Linked DNA regions of Caenorhabditis elegans. The protein of the gene in region 1 purifies or fractionates together with the protein of each later gene. This does not show direct contact. Each region holds a gene or a part of one and is shown on either strand. Other genes may lie near its edges.

Region 1 (7,315 bases):
TTACAGTTGAGTTTACCATCGGAAGCGTCAATATGCAAATCCTTGGATGCTTGAAATAAGGGCTCCACAGTGGTCTCGCTCATATTTTGGCTGTAAGTTCCCACGATTGGAAGGCTTTCCTGATTTGACAACTCATTGCTTCTTGTATTTGGACCCTGACGATGTTCCTGAATGAATCCCATATACCTAGCTAAAAAGATCTTGCAATTCATTCACTCTCTACTACAAAATTGTATGAAGAAGAAATTAACTAATGGCGAAGTTTTGTTACTAAATCACACCGAAATAGTCATACCCTAAAATTCAGTAAGTGACGAATAAAACTTGCAGCAATGGCAAATTTTTTTCTCCTTATGTGGTCTATAGAAATTATAAAAACCAATAAGGTAACTCACTTTATATAGATTTTCTGGTTTATTTGTAACGATTTGTCTGGTTGGCACCTTTCTCTTGAGTTTCTTTGCACATTTTGATACTTTGGATTGCTTCCTGAGTCGACGCTCTTTTAATTGCGATTTTCTCATTTTCTCACTAATTTTAGTGACAGATAAAAATCCGCTCCCTAGCTTTGGATTGTAACTGGGATCGTACGAGTCGTCGGATGATTCATCTGATTGTGAGTCTAAGAATTCAGGGTCCATGATTAACTGAAAAAGAAACATTTAGATCAAGGAACAACAAAACAGGACGGAAATAAGCTAAGAGAATGGGCACAGATGCAAAATCATGTTTTGATTCATAAACCACGTGGTTCATGTGGTTCATACGGAAAAGTTAGAATACGGCGATGTAGCGCATACATACATCTGAATGTGTTGCGAAGATATATAGAAAGCTAATTAATGCTTTTTTAGTTGCTATGGGAGACACGTGTGAAGTTGCGAAGGTGAATAGCAAAACCGAGGTAGCCGAGATCTTAAAGGTGGAATAACGGTTTGGGGGTATTTTACGTTTATATACTCAACATAAGCTCGAATCATAAAATCAGAAATGCAATTTAACCACTCCGAAACCAGACTTTCGGTGGTTTCGCAGAAACTACTTTCGAATAGACTGTGGGCAAATCGGTTCTGAACGTCAAGTCATAAAATGTAAAGAATTAATCAAAATAGAGAAAATAGAGAAACAATTCAGGCACAGCAAAAGGAAGGTCCACGCTGGCCAGAAAAATAAAAAAAATGGATAAGAAATTGAAATATAGGGAGAAAAAAAAACAAAAATAAGGAAACTAGCTAAAAAAAATCCAAGGTGTAAAATTCAAAAGAACAAAAATTTAAGTTACGAAATGGATAATTGAGATTCATTAGTGGATTTGACGCATAGAGGGTACACTTATTGCAAAAGTGTACAAATATAATTGATGTTTTCATACTTGATAGGGGAGACACGTGAGGAGGAGTTAATGAGTTGCGACGTCAACAAATGAAAATCTACCAAAATTGCAAAAATAAACGTCAGGGGTGTTAACTTTGCTCCTATTGTGAGAGTCATGTGTGAAATCAAAAGATTATTAATGACGTTTTTAACAATTGATATATTACGTGAAACAAGTTTTTCTAGAACGCGTATGTGAAAAACCTCGAAATATAATTTTTTCAGATGCATAATCAAACTCATTGTGAGCTTTCAAAAATAGTGAGATGTGCCGTTATTATGTTTCTGAACAATTCATACTTTATGTTGAAAAATTGTCAGTTGGAACTGGTTGAACATTTTTTTGGGCGTGCCAAAACAGTGTTACCCAAAATTCTAATGCCAACAACTTGAAACATGTTTGTAAAATTTGTAGAGAAACAATTTTATAGTGGATTGAAGTGGGACAACTGGGGGGTTGTCTTGTGAGTCAATGCAATTTTTTATTGTCATAAAAGCGTTAAATAAGTTTGATTTATGCAAAAAATATGTTCGCAGTTTTGTATCAGACACATTTGTTTTAGAACAATAGTTTTCAAGTAACATTATATTATTATCAAAAAATAACAATCGCACAGACCACGTGGCTTTTGTTTTTTATTTCTTTTTTATTTACGCTCCTCCCACGTCTGACCTTTAGTTCAGTTTTTAAATTATCTTTGAAAATAAAGTTGTGGGAAGAGCGTAAATAAAAAAGAAATAAAAAACAAAAGCCACGTGGCCTGTGCGATTGATATTTTTTGATAATATGTGGTTTATTTTTTCATGTCTTATTGAAATGTTTATTGAACTTATCACAAGTGTTCAAAACAACGATTCACATTGAGATGTCGTTCTTTGTGATTTCGACAAATGTGAACGCATTGGTGGACTGACTATGACACCTAACACAACGAGAATGGCCAAACATGATATTGCAAATTTTTACAGTTTGTGATTCAGTTTTATTTTTTTTTTGTTGGATGAATTGAAAATTTAGTATTCTTTTTTCCCTTTTTTCCAAGTAAGTGGCAGTAAAAAAATTTTACGGGGATGCAGAATTGAATTGGAACCTGTTCAATATGCGTACCACAAAATATCACAACATTTTCAAAATTGAAAAACTAATACCTGATTTTTTTTATTTTTAGATTTGCTAGGAATCATGATTTCTGAGCCTAGAAATGAAAAAGTTTCGGAAAAATTATTTGTGTGAATAAATTTTCGGAACAATTATTCATTTCAAAAATAAATTCATTAACAGCATTTGGGGAACAGCAACTACATGATTACCATCACATGTGGTGTCAGATTTTTGTAGATCAAGCCGTAATCCTATATCCACATGGCACCGCCCTTGCTTGTTTCCTGCAAAGTGCTAGCTGACACTAAAACTGTAATTTTCAAATGTTTTTACTTGCATGAAGGGAATGTTCGTTTGCAAATTGCATGAACACAATCAATATTAGAGTGGTAGCACATTTTGAAGCTTTTTAACAATACAGATTTATATTTGAGACAATTATGACACGAAGTTTTGCTGTCATACTTTTAAAAAAAGTGTAGCTTTTCATTGGATAGTTTGAAGACTGACATAACCCAACATGACGATTTAAAAAATGCATAATGAGGATAAAAAATTTGAAAACATTGAAAGAGAAATGGGCATAATCCCGAAGAAAAGATCGGTCAATAAGAGAAGGTACATTTCTGTGGCAAAAAGCGTAGGGAACATGAATGATTTTGGTGAGGTGAATTTTGTTTGGCAACGGTTGCAATACACATTAAGCTATTAATAAAATTAGAGATTCGTGAAACTTTGTCCATCACTTCCAGTTAAATCGACGCCATTGTCATGATTGTTGTGGTAATTCACATTACCATCCGGCGCGATATATTGGACGTGGTCGTGATATTGGTCGTAGGTAGACATGGGTTGCTGATGCTCGATATAATCCGTTTGATGATCCATGCCATTATTGATGTATCCAGTCGACGTCGACGGCATCGATGAATTGACTATCCCGCCCTTTGGTCTGAAATATTCACACATATTGAAAAATGAAACAATTTTAAATAAGAAAAACTAACTGAATTTCAACTGGCGATGGGAGAACTATTGAGGACGAATCAGAAGTTTCTTCACCAGGTAAGCGGTTCCGGCGTTTCAATTTTCTGGGAGACGTTGTACTGCTGACCATTGATGACGATTCGGCTGCTGGAAAGTAAAAACAATTAAACATTCAAGTTCAAAACATCTTTCCACTAATACAATTTTTTGAAAATCTGCTTACTTTTCGTATTGTCAAAACGCCCATCAAGCCCTCTCTTGCGTTTTAGTGCATGAAGATGACGACTTTCGTGGAGATACTTCTGGCGAGCAAGTGGGAGCCGTCCACTGGCTTCAAGCTGTTGCCTCATCTCACGTCTTCGCATAATTCTGTTGAACTGCTTCGGATTGACCAGCATGGGTTGTTGCACTTTTGGACCAATCATTTCTACATTGGGTACTGTTCCGTTTGCTGAAAAAAGGTATTATTCATTGGAACCGTTTAAAATAATTTTATTGCCGATGCAGTTTTGCGGAATATATTTTTCTGGGTGTAAATTTAAATTATCCCGTGAAAAGAAAAAAAATATCTGACTTACGGAAAGATAGTACTGGTAGTTCATCCCTGGGCCGAGCATTGTTAAAAAGATTTGAATCCATTTCCAACGTTTTTGGAAGCATTGCCTGAAACTCTATGTTTGTAGGAGATATTTTCACAATTTATAATCAACCTTCACATCTTCTTCCGTTGCATCCATTGGCATTGGAACCAAAAGCGTCCTAGGTATTCCGTCGAGCACCCATGAATATTGAAACAGCTGAAAACAGATTTAAATTGACTTTAGATCTACATACAAATGTAAAACTCCCTAACCTTGCAGTTTGGCGGCAGTTCTATTGTCGTCGGAACTTTTGACTGATTAATCTCATTGATTTTTCCAGAATCTGAATAGATAAGTATGTTTACAGTGTAGACTTTACACACATATCAAAAATTTACCATACCTAACAACTCTAGTTGCTCCCTTGCTTTCTGTCCATTCTCGGGTTCATTGGGTTTAAAAGATATTGCATGCGTGAATACGGGCTCAGACTCGTCTGTAAATAAAAATTTTGAAATTATATACTTAGCTTCACTCACTTGGACTGTAAAATGAGGTAGTCGTAGATGCCACCGATGTGCTTGGTTCATTATATTGGATATAACTGCCGTTCTGTGGTTGTGATTGAGAAACCGGAGCTGGGCCAAATGCTTGTTCAATTCGTTGTTGTTGTGAAGGTGTAACATGGGACGATCTATGGAATTGTGGGGCTCGAGCTGTAGAAACGCTAGCTGGAGTATATTGAGAGGGTGTAGTTTGAGTAGGCGTTGTTTGTGAAACTGATGCTTGATGAGTTTGAGATCTTACAACTGGAGGTTGGTGGCATTGTGTTTGAACGTTCGGCGAAGAAGTAGCTGGAGGTGAGGGGTTCTGAAATCAAGATAGGGTTAGTTTTATCTTTGAGATTACATCGAAAAAAGATTCATAAATACCATCAGAGTTTTAGCAACATTTGTTTCTCCATTAAATGACATCTCATTGTATTTTTAATTTTACTGTGTAACTCATCTCCTACTTTTTGTCAACATTTCAACATTTCTTGATACTTTTTCATCGACGGAAAGGGACGAGTTTAGTTCATTTGGCAGGAAAAATTAAAATTACTTTTCAAATTATTATGCCAGATTTAAGTTGAGAAAAAAAAAACTAATCTTACCACGTCTTTCACGAAACGCGGTCCTGGTAGTGGAACGGGACGTCTTATGGGAAGTTCTTTGGGTGTAGTATCCAGTGAAGTCCCGATTTTGGATGCCTTCTCGAATCGGAAAACTGTAGGCGGAATTGGTCGCTTTGCCGGAGCTTGAACTGGAGTGGGGCGCTGCACGTCGCCCCTCGACGCTCCATTCATTTTGTCTTGTTTTTTGATGATTGGATTTACCTGAAAATGAAAAATGATTAATCAATAATGAAACATTCCGTGTTTGAGGCTATTTGAGCTTTATATGGTTTTCCGATAAAACGGTGAAAATTGACAAAGTTATGGTAAAACATTATTTTCGTTAAATCAAAACGTCTAAATAAAACTTTCATTCAATAAATGTTAAATTCTCAGAAAATCAGAATAATTGAAAAGTTTTCTCGAAAAAAAAGATGAGAGAAAGTAAGAAAGGTTTTTATAATTTTGAAGTAGTGAATTCTAACGGTGGAAAAAAACTTCATGACTTAAAAGTTTACATTTTAAACTTTTAGTGTCTCTCAAAGTTCAAAAACTATTTCTGCAGAAAAAAAATGGCAAAACTAGTATGCAAAAATGTCTCGTAGTATCGAACCCTAGTAGCAACGACTGCAATCACCGAGACGACCAAATGCACCAATGCGCACTATTTTACGACAAATTCCCCTTCACGTACACGCTCAATGTTCGTATCGATTTGTGTTGACCAGAGAGGAGAGGGAGAAGAGAGAATGTAGTGACCGCAACGCGCACGTACGCACCCCAAGGTTGTTCTTCACGACGATGAATATGCATCCAACAACCAATTGATTTAGGAAGTGTCTGATGATAACGTCCCGAATGGATCATTGCGATTAGCAAGAAGTTTTTAATTATTACAAGTGATTTTTTCCACTCGCTTTTCAGGAATTTTACACATTTCTACAACATCGCTAACAATAATGCAAATGTTTCTTTGATGGCCAATTGTAAGGAGCTTCAAATTTGATCATTTTGACTTCACAATCAGATCAGAGAAGCAATTTATTTCCATTTGGGAGTACAAATCGATGTATGCATGTACATCAAAATAATATTCTCATGGAGGAACCCTGAAAAAACCGAAATTGATTGAAAATTTTTCAAATTCCTCCACAGAAAAAAAGGGAATAAGCTAAAATAATTGAAACGGATAAGCTATCATTTTCCTGGTTTTGGAGTTAAAATCAACAAGAGCATTTGTGCAATCTTGCAATTTCTGGACATCTGTAACATACAGGAGACTTCCACTAGCTGCCGAACTTAGCATTGATTCCTTCGTATCCCGACTTAACTTCAAAATTTTTTTCTGTGCACTTCTTTGCCAAAGTTCATGTGACTTGAAGCTATACAAACCTAAAATGGATAGCATTATGCTTGAAAAGACCCTAATTGCTGATTAATTATGTATTGAGGTATTACGAGAAAAATAACAGTAGTTCGTCGCTGACAATGAAATAACGTTACACAAATTTTATTTCAACTTTTAAGATCAGATTTAAGAAGATCCCAACACATAATTTATAGCATTGGGGTTCATTCTGAAACTTCTAAACAAAATAGACAATACATGATATATTGTTCAATAAAATTATTGTATTAATTTATTAAAGATTTCCAATCAAATACACCTGGCATTTCATTTTGTTTGGTTCCATTGTTTTTTACAACCGCAAAAAAAGAAGGAAAACAACCAAGTCCGCAAACATCTCAGTGACTGAATGCACAGACGGCGCAACGTTTGACGACAGATTAGTGTTTTGAACTGGTCCCGTACAGTCCTCAAGACTCTGTTTCTCATTTCCTAGTGTGCACAGAGCCGCGACGCAACCGCGCACGCTGCACACCATCTGCCGTTTTCCGAAAATGGTCATCTGTAACTTAAATATTCTAGGTGTTTTCTCACAATGTCTTTGGTTTATAAATTTTTTTTGAATTGTTTAAAATTCCATTACGTTATGTGAAAAAATAACAAGTTGGTTTTTTCTTTCATGTTTTTAATATTCTATGTTAAGTTTTACATTTTCGATAATAAAAAAAATTACCTAATTATTAAATATTAATAGAATTAAAAATAAT
Region 2 (9,206 bases), on another chromosome or scaffold:
GTGACTGAGCCAGTGGGCATGGGAGCCTTGAAATCGTCCATTTTTCCTGAAAAAACCCAAAAATTTCTATGAAAAATTCCAGATTTTCTCACATTTTTCTCGATTTTTGCCTGACAATCCGGGCATTTTGATTTGAAATTTAGTGGTTCTACAAGGAGAAATCGTGTGGTGCACCCGATATGGTTTACTGTAGATATGTACATTTTGTTGGGGGGCTGTAAATTAATTTTGAAACAAAAATTTCAAAAAAATCGGAAAAATATTTTCTGCCTGAAAATCTGAAAATTTCACTTTCAAATTTTTTTCAAAAAATTTTATTATGATTTTCGAATTTAGCATCCCATTTTACCCCGTGAAATCAATTTTCAGCTCGAAATTCGCATATGTCGTAAAATCAAGTGTTTTGGGGTACTGTAGTCGGTGTTTGCGTACTTTTGGAGCTACAGTACCACAAAACTTCAATTTTTGAGCTGGAAGCCGGGGAAAAAGGGAAATAGGGGTAATTTGAGGCGCTGAATTCGAATTTCGCATTGAAATTTGAAATTTTCGATTTTTTTTTAAACAAAAACAAATTTTGTCTGAAAATCTCAAAATTTAAGATTTTCAAATCGAATTTTCAAAAATTTTCAATACGATTTTCGAACTCACCATCCTATTTTACCCCGTCACATCAATTTTCAGCTTGAAATTCACCAATGTCGTGAAATCAAGTGTTTTGGGGGACTGTAGTCGGTGTTTGCGTACTCTTGGTGCTACAGTAACCCAAAATTTCTCATTTTTGAGTTGAAAACCAGGGAAACCGGGGATAAGGGCCAATTTAAGGTGCTGAATTTGAATTTCACATTAAACATTTCAAAATTACAAGTTTTTTGCCAAAAAAAATTTTGTCTGAAAATCTCAAAATTTAAGATTTTCAAATCGAATTTTCAAAAATTTTCAATACGATTTTCGTACTCAGCACTTTATTTTACCCCGTCAAATCAGTTTTTAGCCCAAAATTCGCCAATGTCGTAAAATCTGGCGTTTTGGGGTACTGTAGTCGGTGTTTGCGCACTTTTGGGATTACAGTACCCCAAATTTTTAAAATTTCGAGCTAGAAGCCGGAAGAAACGGACTATAGGGTTACTTTTAACGCTGAATTCGAATTTCACATTGAAAATTCAAACTTACAAGTTTGGCGCCTCAAAAAAAAATTTCTCTGAAAATCTCAAAATTTCAGATTTTCAAATAAAAATTTTCAGAAATTTTTAATACGATTTTAGAATTCAGCACCCCATTTTACTCCGTCAAATCAATTTTCAGCTCAAAATTCGCAAGTGTCGTAAAATCAGGCGTTTTGGGGTACTGTAGTCAGTGTTTGCGTACTCCTGGAGCTACAGTACCCCAATTTTCTTAAAATTAGAGCTGGAAGCCGGGAGAAAAAGGAAATAGGGGTAATTTGAGGCGCTGAATTCGAATTTCGCATTGAAAATTTGAAATTCAATGGGAAAAGTGTGGAAAAATTGAAAAATCGATTTGAAACGAATTTTTTTGGTGGTTAAGTGAAAACTGAGGCATTGGGGTATAATTGAATTTATTTTTTTGCAATAAATTAGAGATATAAATAAATAAATGAATAAATATTTCAAAAATAATTACAATTGTATATGTTAAGTTGTCAAGGAAATGGATACGATGGAGATCAATGAAAAATGGAAAATTTTGGAAAATTGAATTTTTGCAAAAATTGCAGTTTTCAGATTCAGTTTTGAGGGAAAATGAGAAAAAATCCAATAAAAAATTCGGTAAAAATGGTGATTTTCAGTGCAAAATTTTAAAAATTCCTCAAAAAGTTGGGATTTCAGGGTGAAAAAATGCGAAAAATACAATAAAAATCGAGAAATTATCATTTTTTGCAATTTTCTCTACTTTTTCCTCTTCGTCGGCGTTCGTTTCGGCTGAACTCGGGTGGCTGCGGGTCTCGGCGCGATTGGAACGGGTACTGTATCCTCCTCTACTTGATCTACTTCTTCTTCTTCTTCATATTCCACGTCATCGTGTTGTTCCACGTGGCTGACGTGGTGGTGCTGCTGGGCATAGGAAGACGGATTTTGACCTGAAAATCGGGAAAATTGACTGAAAATGTGCAAAAATTTCATTTTTCTGAAAAAAACATATGCAAAATAGGTAAAAATAGGCCAAAAATGCCTAAAATCACTTTTTTTAAAAGAAAAATTGGCTGAAAATCAGTTTTTTCGATTAAAAAAGACTAAAAATTAGCTGAAAATACATGAAAACACTTATTTAATCGGAAAATTCATTTTATAAAACTGGAAAATTGGGGTTAAAATGCTTCAAAATCACTTTTTTCCCGATTAAAATGGCTCAAAAATGCTAAAAACTTGATTTTTTCCCATTAAAACCAGTAAAATCTCCATTTTTCAGCATTTTTGAACAGAAAATCACTAAAAAATGCAATATTTTACCGATTTTCCGCATAACTGAGCTACTTGACACTGGCTGAGGCTCTTCTTGTCCCATTCCGTGGGGTATTGCTCGTCCATCTGGCATATTCATAACGAATTGCTGAAAAAATATTAAATTTCGAACAAAAAAAATTTTTTAATCAAAATTTCTGAAATTTTCAATACGATTTTCGAATTCAGCACTCCAATTTTACCCCGGGAAATCAATTTTCAGCTCAACATTCGCAAATTTCGTAAAATCTGGTGTTTTGGGGTACTGTAGTCGGTATTTGCGTACTCTTGGGGCTACAGTAACCCAAAATATTCAAACTTTGAGCTAGAAGCACGGGGAAAAGGAAAATGAAGGTAATTTTTGGCGCTGAATTCGAATTTCGCATTAAAATTTCAAAATTACAAGGTTTTTGCCCAAAAAAAAATTTGTCTGAAAATTTCAAAATTTCCGATTTTCAAATCAAATTTTCTGAAATTTTAAATACGATTTTTGAATTCAGCACTCCAATTTACCCCGTCAAATCAATTTTCAGCTCGAAATTCGCCAATGCCGTAAAATCTGGTGCTTTGGGTTACAGTAGTCGGTGTTTGCGTACTCTTGGGGCTACAGTAACCCGAAATATTCAAAATGTTGAGCTAGAAGACGGGGAAACAGGGTTCTGGGGGTAAATTGAGGCGCTGAATTCGAATTTCGCACTAAAAATCTGAAATTCGCTGTGAAAAGTGCTGGAAATCGTACATTTGGCCCAGAAACATTTTCCAATTGCAGTGGGGTGTCCTGGATGATCAGAGGGTAGAGTTCCATGCCATTCGGAGCTGAAATTTGCTTTTCCGGAATTATTTAAAAACATTTTCTTAGATATTTGACAGAAAATCGAGAAAATTCACAATTGTTTTCAGAAAAATCGAGAAAATGTCAATTTTCACAAATTTTAATATAAAAATCGGGAAAATATCGATTTTCTCGGATTTTTCAGGTAGAAAATCAAATTAAAACCAATTTTTTCGAGTTTTTATGCTAAAAATCAAAAAAAATTTGAATTTTCTAGTTTTCTGCTGTAAAAATCAAATCTGGACCAATTTTTTCTAATCTTTACGGCAAACATAGGGAATTTTCAGTAAAATCCACAAAAGTTGACGAAATTTCGATTTTTTCTGAAGTTTTCACCAAAAAAAAAATCGATTTTCCTAGATTTTTTCCGTTCAAAATCGGTTTTAAACCATTTTTTCCAATTTTTGAGCTGGAAATCAAGAAAATTTCAATTTTCTGTTTTTTTTGTGCTGTAAAAATCTAATTTTTCTAATTTTTAAGGAAAAAAATGAGAAATTTTCTGGAAACGCCACAAAATCGGCGAAACTTCGATTTTTCCGGAATTTTCACAAAAAAAAATCGATTTTTCTCAATTTTTCCAATTTTCACGCTGGAAAATTCAGAATTTCATAAAAAATTCCGTACTTTCTTTCGCTGCAAAATGTTGTTTCGTCTTTGGATCCACATAAATCTGCATTTGGCCTTGTTGCTCCAAGGCGATGGCTCCAAGTGAATCTTGCTCAATAATTTCCTCGTGTTCTTCAATTTCTACTTCTTCCATCGGCATCGGCTCCATTGGCTCCTGAAAAATCGAATTTTTTGAGTTAAAAAATCAATTTTTGAGTTAAAAAATCAATTTTTGAGTTAAAAATTCAATTTTTGAGTTAAAAATTCAATTTTTGAATTAAAAATTCAATTTTTGAGTTAAAAATTCAATTTTTGAATTAAAAATTCAATTTTTGAATTAAAAATTCAATTTTTGAGTTAAAAAAATCAATTTTTGAGTTAAAAATTCAGGTTTTTAGTGGAAAAATCCATTTTTCCACAGTTTTCCATCCAGAAAATCCAATTTTCACCTCCATATAATATCCATCTGCGCGGGTATTCAATGTACCAGTTTGCTCATTCCATTCTTCTCCCAATGGAGCATTTTTCACAATTTCACTGCCATTTATCACGTATTGAGTCTCGGTACCTGGAAAATTGCAATTTTTTTCATCATTTTCCTAGAAAAATTGAAAATTTGGGCATAGCTTCCGCATCTCCGGTGACAAATGTGCTCTATTGCACAAATTGTTGGTTGGAATACGGTATTTATTGCATGTTTCAGCCGAGAATACCGATATTCCAGCCATCAATTTGGATAGAAGGACATGAGTCACAGAAATTTATTTTTGTAGAGAAACTACAGTAATCCTTATAGGAGTTATATGGCATTTTCAGAGCAAGTTTCGGTATTTTTCCGAAAAAAAGTCGCTTGAAACTACTATGCAAAGCTGCTGAGTTTCGCGAAAAATTCAAAATTTTGGGAAAAAAACGGTGAGAATTGCAATTTTTCCATATAAATCTTAAAAATGCATTATTAGTTTTTTTTTAACTATAGTATCCTTGAAAGTCATAGAACAAGTTGCAAGATTCGTAGAAAACTCGAAAAAATCATATATTTAACGCTAAAAATTCAAAATTAAGAATTTGTGCAACTTTCAGCAAAAAATTTAGAATTTTGACAAATTTTTAAAGGAAAATCATCATTCTCAGTGCTTCAAGCTCTGAAAAAAATTTTTAGGAATTTTTCCAGAGAAAACCATTTTTGTTCAGGTTTTTACTATTCTTCCCATTAATTTTTCAAAGCTTGAAGCACTGAGAATGATAATTTTCATTAAAAATGTGTCAAAACTCTAAATTTTTTGCTGAAAAATACTCAGAAGCCGAAATTAAAAGCCAAAAATTCTGAATTTTAAGTTTTTAGCGTTAAAATTATGATTTTTTCGAGTTTTCTGCGAATCTTGTAATTTTTTCTATGACTTCAAAGGATACTGTAGTTGAAAAAAACTGAAAAATGAATTTTTGAGATTTATGTGGAAAAAATGCAATTTTCACCGTTTTTTTACTATTATTTCGGCTTCTGAATATTTTTCAGCAAAAAATTCAGAGTTTTGACAATTTTTTTAAATGAAAAATCATCATTCTCAGTACTTCAATCTTTGAAAAAAAAACAATTCTTAGTCTAAATTTCAAGTTTCCGGTTTTTTCTATTTTTTCCATAAATTTAGTCTATTTTCTGTGAAATTTCTAGTTTTTTATTATTTTTTCCATAAATTTAGTCTATTTTCTGTGAAATTTCTAGTTTTTTATTATTTTTTCCATAAATTTAGTCTATTTTCTGTCAAATTTCGTTTTTTCTATTTTTTTCCATAAATTTAGTCTATTTTCTGTCAAATTTCTAGTTTTTTACTATTTTTTCCATAAATTTAGTCTATTTTCTGTCAAATTTCGTTTTTTCTATTTTTTTCCACTAATTTAGTCTATTTTCTGTGAAATTTCTAGTTTTTTACTATTTTTTCCATAAATTTAATCCATTTCCAGTCAAATTTCCAGTTTTTTTTTCTATTTTTCCATCAATTTAATCTATTTTCAGGCAAAATTTTCCGATTTTCACACACGAACATCTGCGTCCTTGCTCCGTATCGAAGAATAATGGCCGAACAAAAGGATCCATTTGAAATTGTGGAGGCCGTACGTAGTCTGGGTGTGTTCTGTGAATTGGTCCAGTGATCTTGTGAGCCTGACGGTACTTTTGAAGGAAAATTCGCATTGGCTCCGCGTAATTGTCGAATCCTGTGGCTTCCATCGCGGTGAGCAGGTCGTCTGGAAATTTTTTTATATTGAAAATTGCGGTTTTTAGGGTTTTTTGGGCTTTTGGGCTGTTTTTGAGTTTTTAAAAAGGTTTTCCATGCGAAAATTGTAGTTTTTGGACGATTTGCGGGTAATTTTAGACGGAGTTTCCCGGTTTTACCTGCAGTAATAGTCTTCCGCTTCGTAATATTGCATATTTCAGCGGCTTCCGAAGCGATAAAGCTTATAAACTCTGAAACACACTCTTGAGCACACTCCTTTGCGTCTTTTGCCAATTTCGCCTGCGGATCCATTTGAGTTTTCATGATTCGGACCACGTTAGCTGAAAAAATTGGGATTTTTGGAGAATTTTCAACGATTTTTGTTTTAAAAAAATTGAAAAATCTCGAGCTTGATGCCTTTTTGCAGAGAAACTTTCAATTCTTGAAAAAAAAATTACAAAAAAAATCGATTTTTGTCGAAAATTTATGTTTTTGAAAAAAAAATTGTAAAAAATTGGTCTGCTAGACTACAAACTACAATATTCGATTTAGCAGACCATTGTTGTTCTGAACAAAATTGGTCTGCTAGACTACAAACTACAAGTTTAGATTTAGCAGACCAATAGATATTGAAGAAGTTTGGTCTGCTAGACTACAAACTACAAAATTCGATTTAGCAGACCAAAGTGATTTTGAACAAAATTGGTCTGCTAGACTACAAACTACAATTTTCGATTTAGCAGACCCATGTGATATTTTTTCATTTTAAAGGGCAATTTTAGAAAAAATGGCGGTTTTTATCGGAAATTTATGAATTTTTTCACTTTTCAGTCTAGATTTTTCAAGAAATTTCAATTTTTCGTGTAAAATTCCGGGAATTTATCGATTTTCATCAAAATTTCCGCATGTTTTCCCATACCAATTGGCAAAAATCGTTCCTGATCAAGTAAAACTTGACTTTTATTCGGATGATGAAGCTCCATTGCTATTTCACTAATTGTTCGTGTATCCTCTTCTATATTATGAATTCCATTCATATCATCTTCTGTTATTTCTTCTTCTTCAGGCATTCCATGATCATGATCCTCCAGTAACATTCCTTCGTTTATGGGTTTTGGATCCATTTTGGGAGCTTTTAGACGGTGGACACGGGCTGAAAATTGCGAAAATTTGAAGAAAATAAGGTGAAAACAAGGAAAAATAGCAAAAATTCGGGGTTTTCAGCGATTTTCCGAGCTGAAAATGCTAAATTTTTAATTTTTTAGATTAAAAAACAGGAAAAATCAAGTTTCAAGACCATTTTTCAAGCTTTTCGAAGTGAAAACTCGTAATTTCTTCTTAAAAATCACATTGGTCTGCTAAATCGAAATTTGTAGTTTGTAGTCTAGCAGACCAAAAATTTTCAGAATTAAATTTTTTTAAAGCAATTTTTCAGCGAGAAATTGAACATTTTTCGAATAAAAATTAGAAAAATTGAAGTTTTTGGGACTTTTAGTGCAAAAATTGACGATTTTTGTGTTTTTAAGCATTTTTAAAGCTTAAAATTCGATGTCTCATATATTTTTGCCTGAAAAAAAGTGAAAAACTACAAGAAAAAAAGATAAAAATACGCATTTTGGATGAAATAACCCGAATACAGTGCTGCAAAAAATTTAGATAATGGAAATGAGCTGAAAATTGCGAAAATTTGAAGAAAATTGGGTGAAAACGAAGAAAATAGGCGAAATTCGGGGTTTTCAGCGATTTTCTGGGATAAAAATGATAAATTTTGTTTTTTTTCAATAAAAAAGCGAAAAAATCAAGTTTTAAGGCTATTTTTCAAGCTTTTTAGACTGAAAACTCTTCGTTTTTTCTTCTAAATCGGGTCTGCTAAATCGAAATTTGTAGTTTGTAGCCTAGCAGACCCAAAATTTGAATTTTTGCCAGGGAAAAAATTTTTCAGCGAAAAATTGAAGATTTTTCGAACAGAAATTATAAAAATTCAATTTTATGCGACTTTCAGCGCGAAAATTTGCAATTTTTGTGTTTTTTAAGGCTTTTTAAAGCTTAAAATTCGGATTTTTACCTGGAAAAAGTGAAAAACGTCAAAAAAATCGATAAAAATACAAGTTTTGGATGAAAAAACCGGGATATTGTGCTAGAAAAATCCTTGAAAAATGTTAGAAAATCAACAATTTATATGATAATGAATTCTATCGCAAAAAAAGCTATCAGAAGACGAAAAACAGGGGAAAATCTAGGAAAAGATCAATTTCAGACGGTTTTAAGGGGGATTTTCGGCGAGAAAATCAAGTTTTTCAAGCAGTTTTGGCTTGTTGAATGGCCGCAGATGGTCCGAGAAGCATTTGACGTTGCTGAGCCACTTGAGTCTTTTCCAAATCACTTCGTTCCTTTTCGATAATGTATGGAAGGAAGGCGATCAATGACGTTGTAGATACAACCCAAATTGTGCTTTTTGTAAGGGAAAACTGAAAGAAAATTGAGTTTTTTTGGAGTTTTCAGTGTGAAATATGAGTTTTTACTGTCAAATTGAGATTTTTTTACAAAAATCGATAATTTTTAGTTTTTAGAGCAGAAATTCGGGAAAACTGAAAGAAAACATATTCTTTTTTAGAGTTTTCAGTGTAAAATAAGCAAATTTTTAATTTTTTCTCTATTAAAAATTGTCAAATTGTTGATTTTCCGAGTGTTTTATAGCAAAAATCAATAATTTTTGGTTTTTAGAGGAATAAATAAGATTTTTTTGAGTTTTCAAATAAAAAAGGCCGAATTTTTACTTTTTTTCAGTTTAAAATTGTCAAATTGTTGATTTTCTAGATGTTATACTGCAAAAATCGATAATTTTTAGTTTTTAGAGCAGAAATTCGGGAAAACTGAAAGAAAATTGAATCTTTTTTAGAGTTTTCAGTGTAAAATAGGCAAATTTTCAACTTTTTCTCGGTTCAAAATTGCCAAATTATTGATTTTCCGGTTTTTTAATGCAAAAATCGATAATTTTTATAATTTAGAACAGAAATTAGAGGAAAACTGAAAGAAAATTGATTTTATTTAGAGTTTTCAGTGTGAAATATGAAGAATTTTGGCTTTTTCCAGTTGAAAATC

The links. The genes of interacting proteins can lie anywhere in the genome.
Region 2: the proteins of nfya-1 (region 1) and nfyb-1 purify together in Caenorhabditis elegans (affinity purification with western blotting, with the first as the bait; one study listed by BioGRID). This does not show direct contact.

Annotation. Positions count from the first base shown.
Region 1 is NC_003284.9:11,941,411-11,948,725, forward strand, and holds nfya-1 (Nuclear transcription factor Y subunit nfya-1), read right to left. Parts: upstream 5,429-7,315; 5' UTR 5,393-5,428; coding exon 5,201-5,392; intron 4,915-5,200; coding exon 4,584-4,914; intron 4,541-4,583; coding exon 4,448-4,540; intron 4,388-4,447; coding exon 4,317-4,387; intron 4,261-4,316; coding exon 4,174-4,260; intron 4,127-4,173; coding exon 4,042-4,126; intron 3,915-4,041; coding exon 3,687-3,914; intron 3,611-3,686; coding exon 3,484-3,610; intron 3,429-3,483; coding exon 3,194-3,428; 3' UTR 2,875-3,193; downstream 1-2,874. Other genes in the region: F55G7.3 (BLVR domain-containing protein), read right to left, coding at 17-167, 396-641. UniProt on the Caenorhabditis elegans protein: Component of the sequence-specific heterotrimeric transcription factor (nfya-1-NF-Y) which specifically recognizes a 5'-CCAAT-3' box motif found in the promoters of its target genes to regulate their expression and control cellular identity in particular tissue types.
Region 2 is NC_003280.10:460,109-469,314, forward strand, and holds nfyb-1 (Nuclear transcription factor Y subunit nfyb-1), read right to left. Parts: upstream 7,258-9,206; 5' UTR 7,229-7,257; coding exon 7,024-7,228; intron 6,798-7,023; exon of another isoform or gene 6,741-6,797; intron 6,446-6,740; coding exon 6,284-6,445; intron 6,136-6,283; coding exon 5,935-6,135; intron 4,463-5,934; coding exon 4,344-4,462; intron 4,070-4,343; coding exon 3,913-4,069; intron 3,273-3,912; coding exon 3,196-3,272; intron 2,566-3,195; coding exon 2,466-2,565; intron 2,096-2,465; coding exon 1,905-2,095; 3' UTR 1,559-1,904; downstream 1-1,558. Other genes in the region: W10D9.3 (MKRN2 opposite strand protein-like C-terminal domain-containing protein), read right to left, coding at 1-46, 93-215, 649-651; tomm-22 (Mitochondrial import receptor subunit TOM22 homolog), read right to left, coding at 8,402-8,572.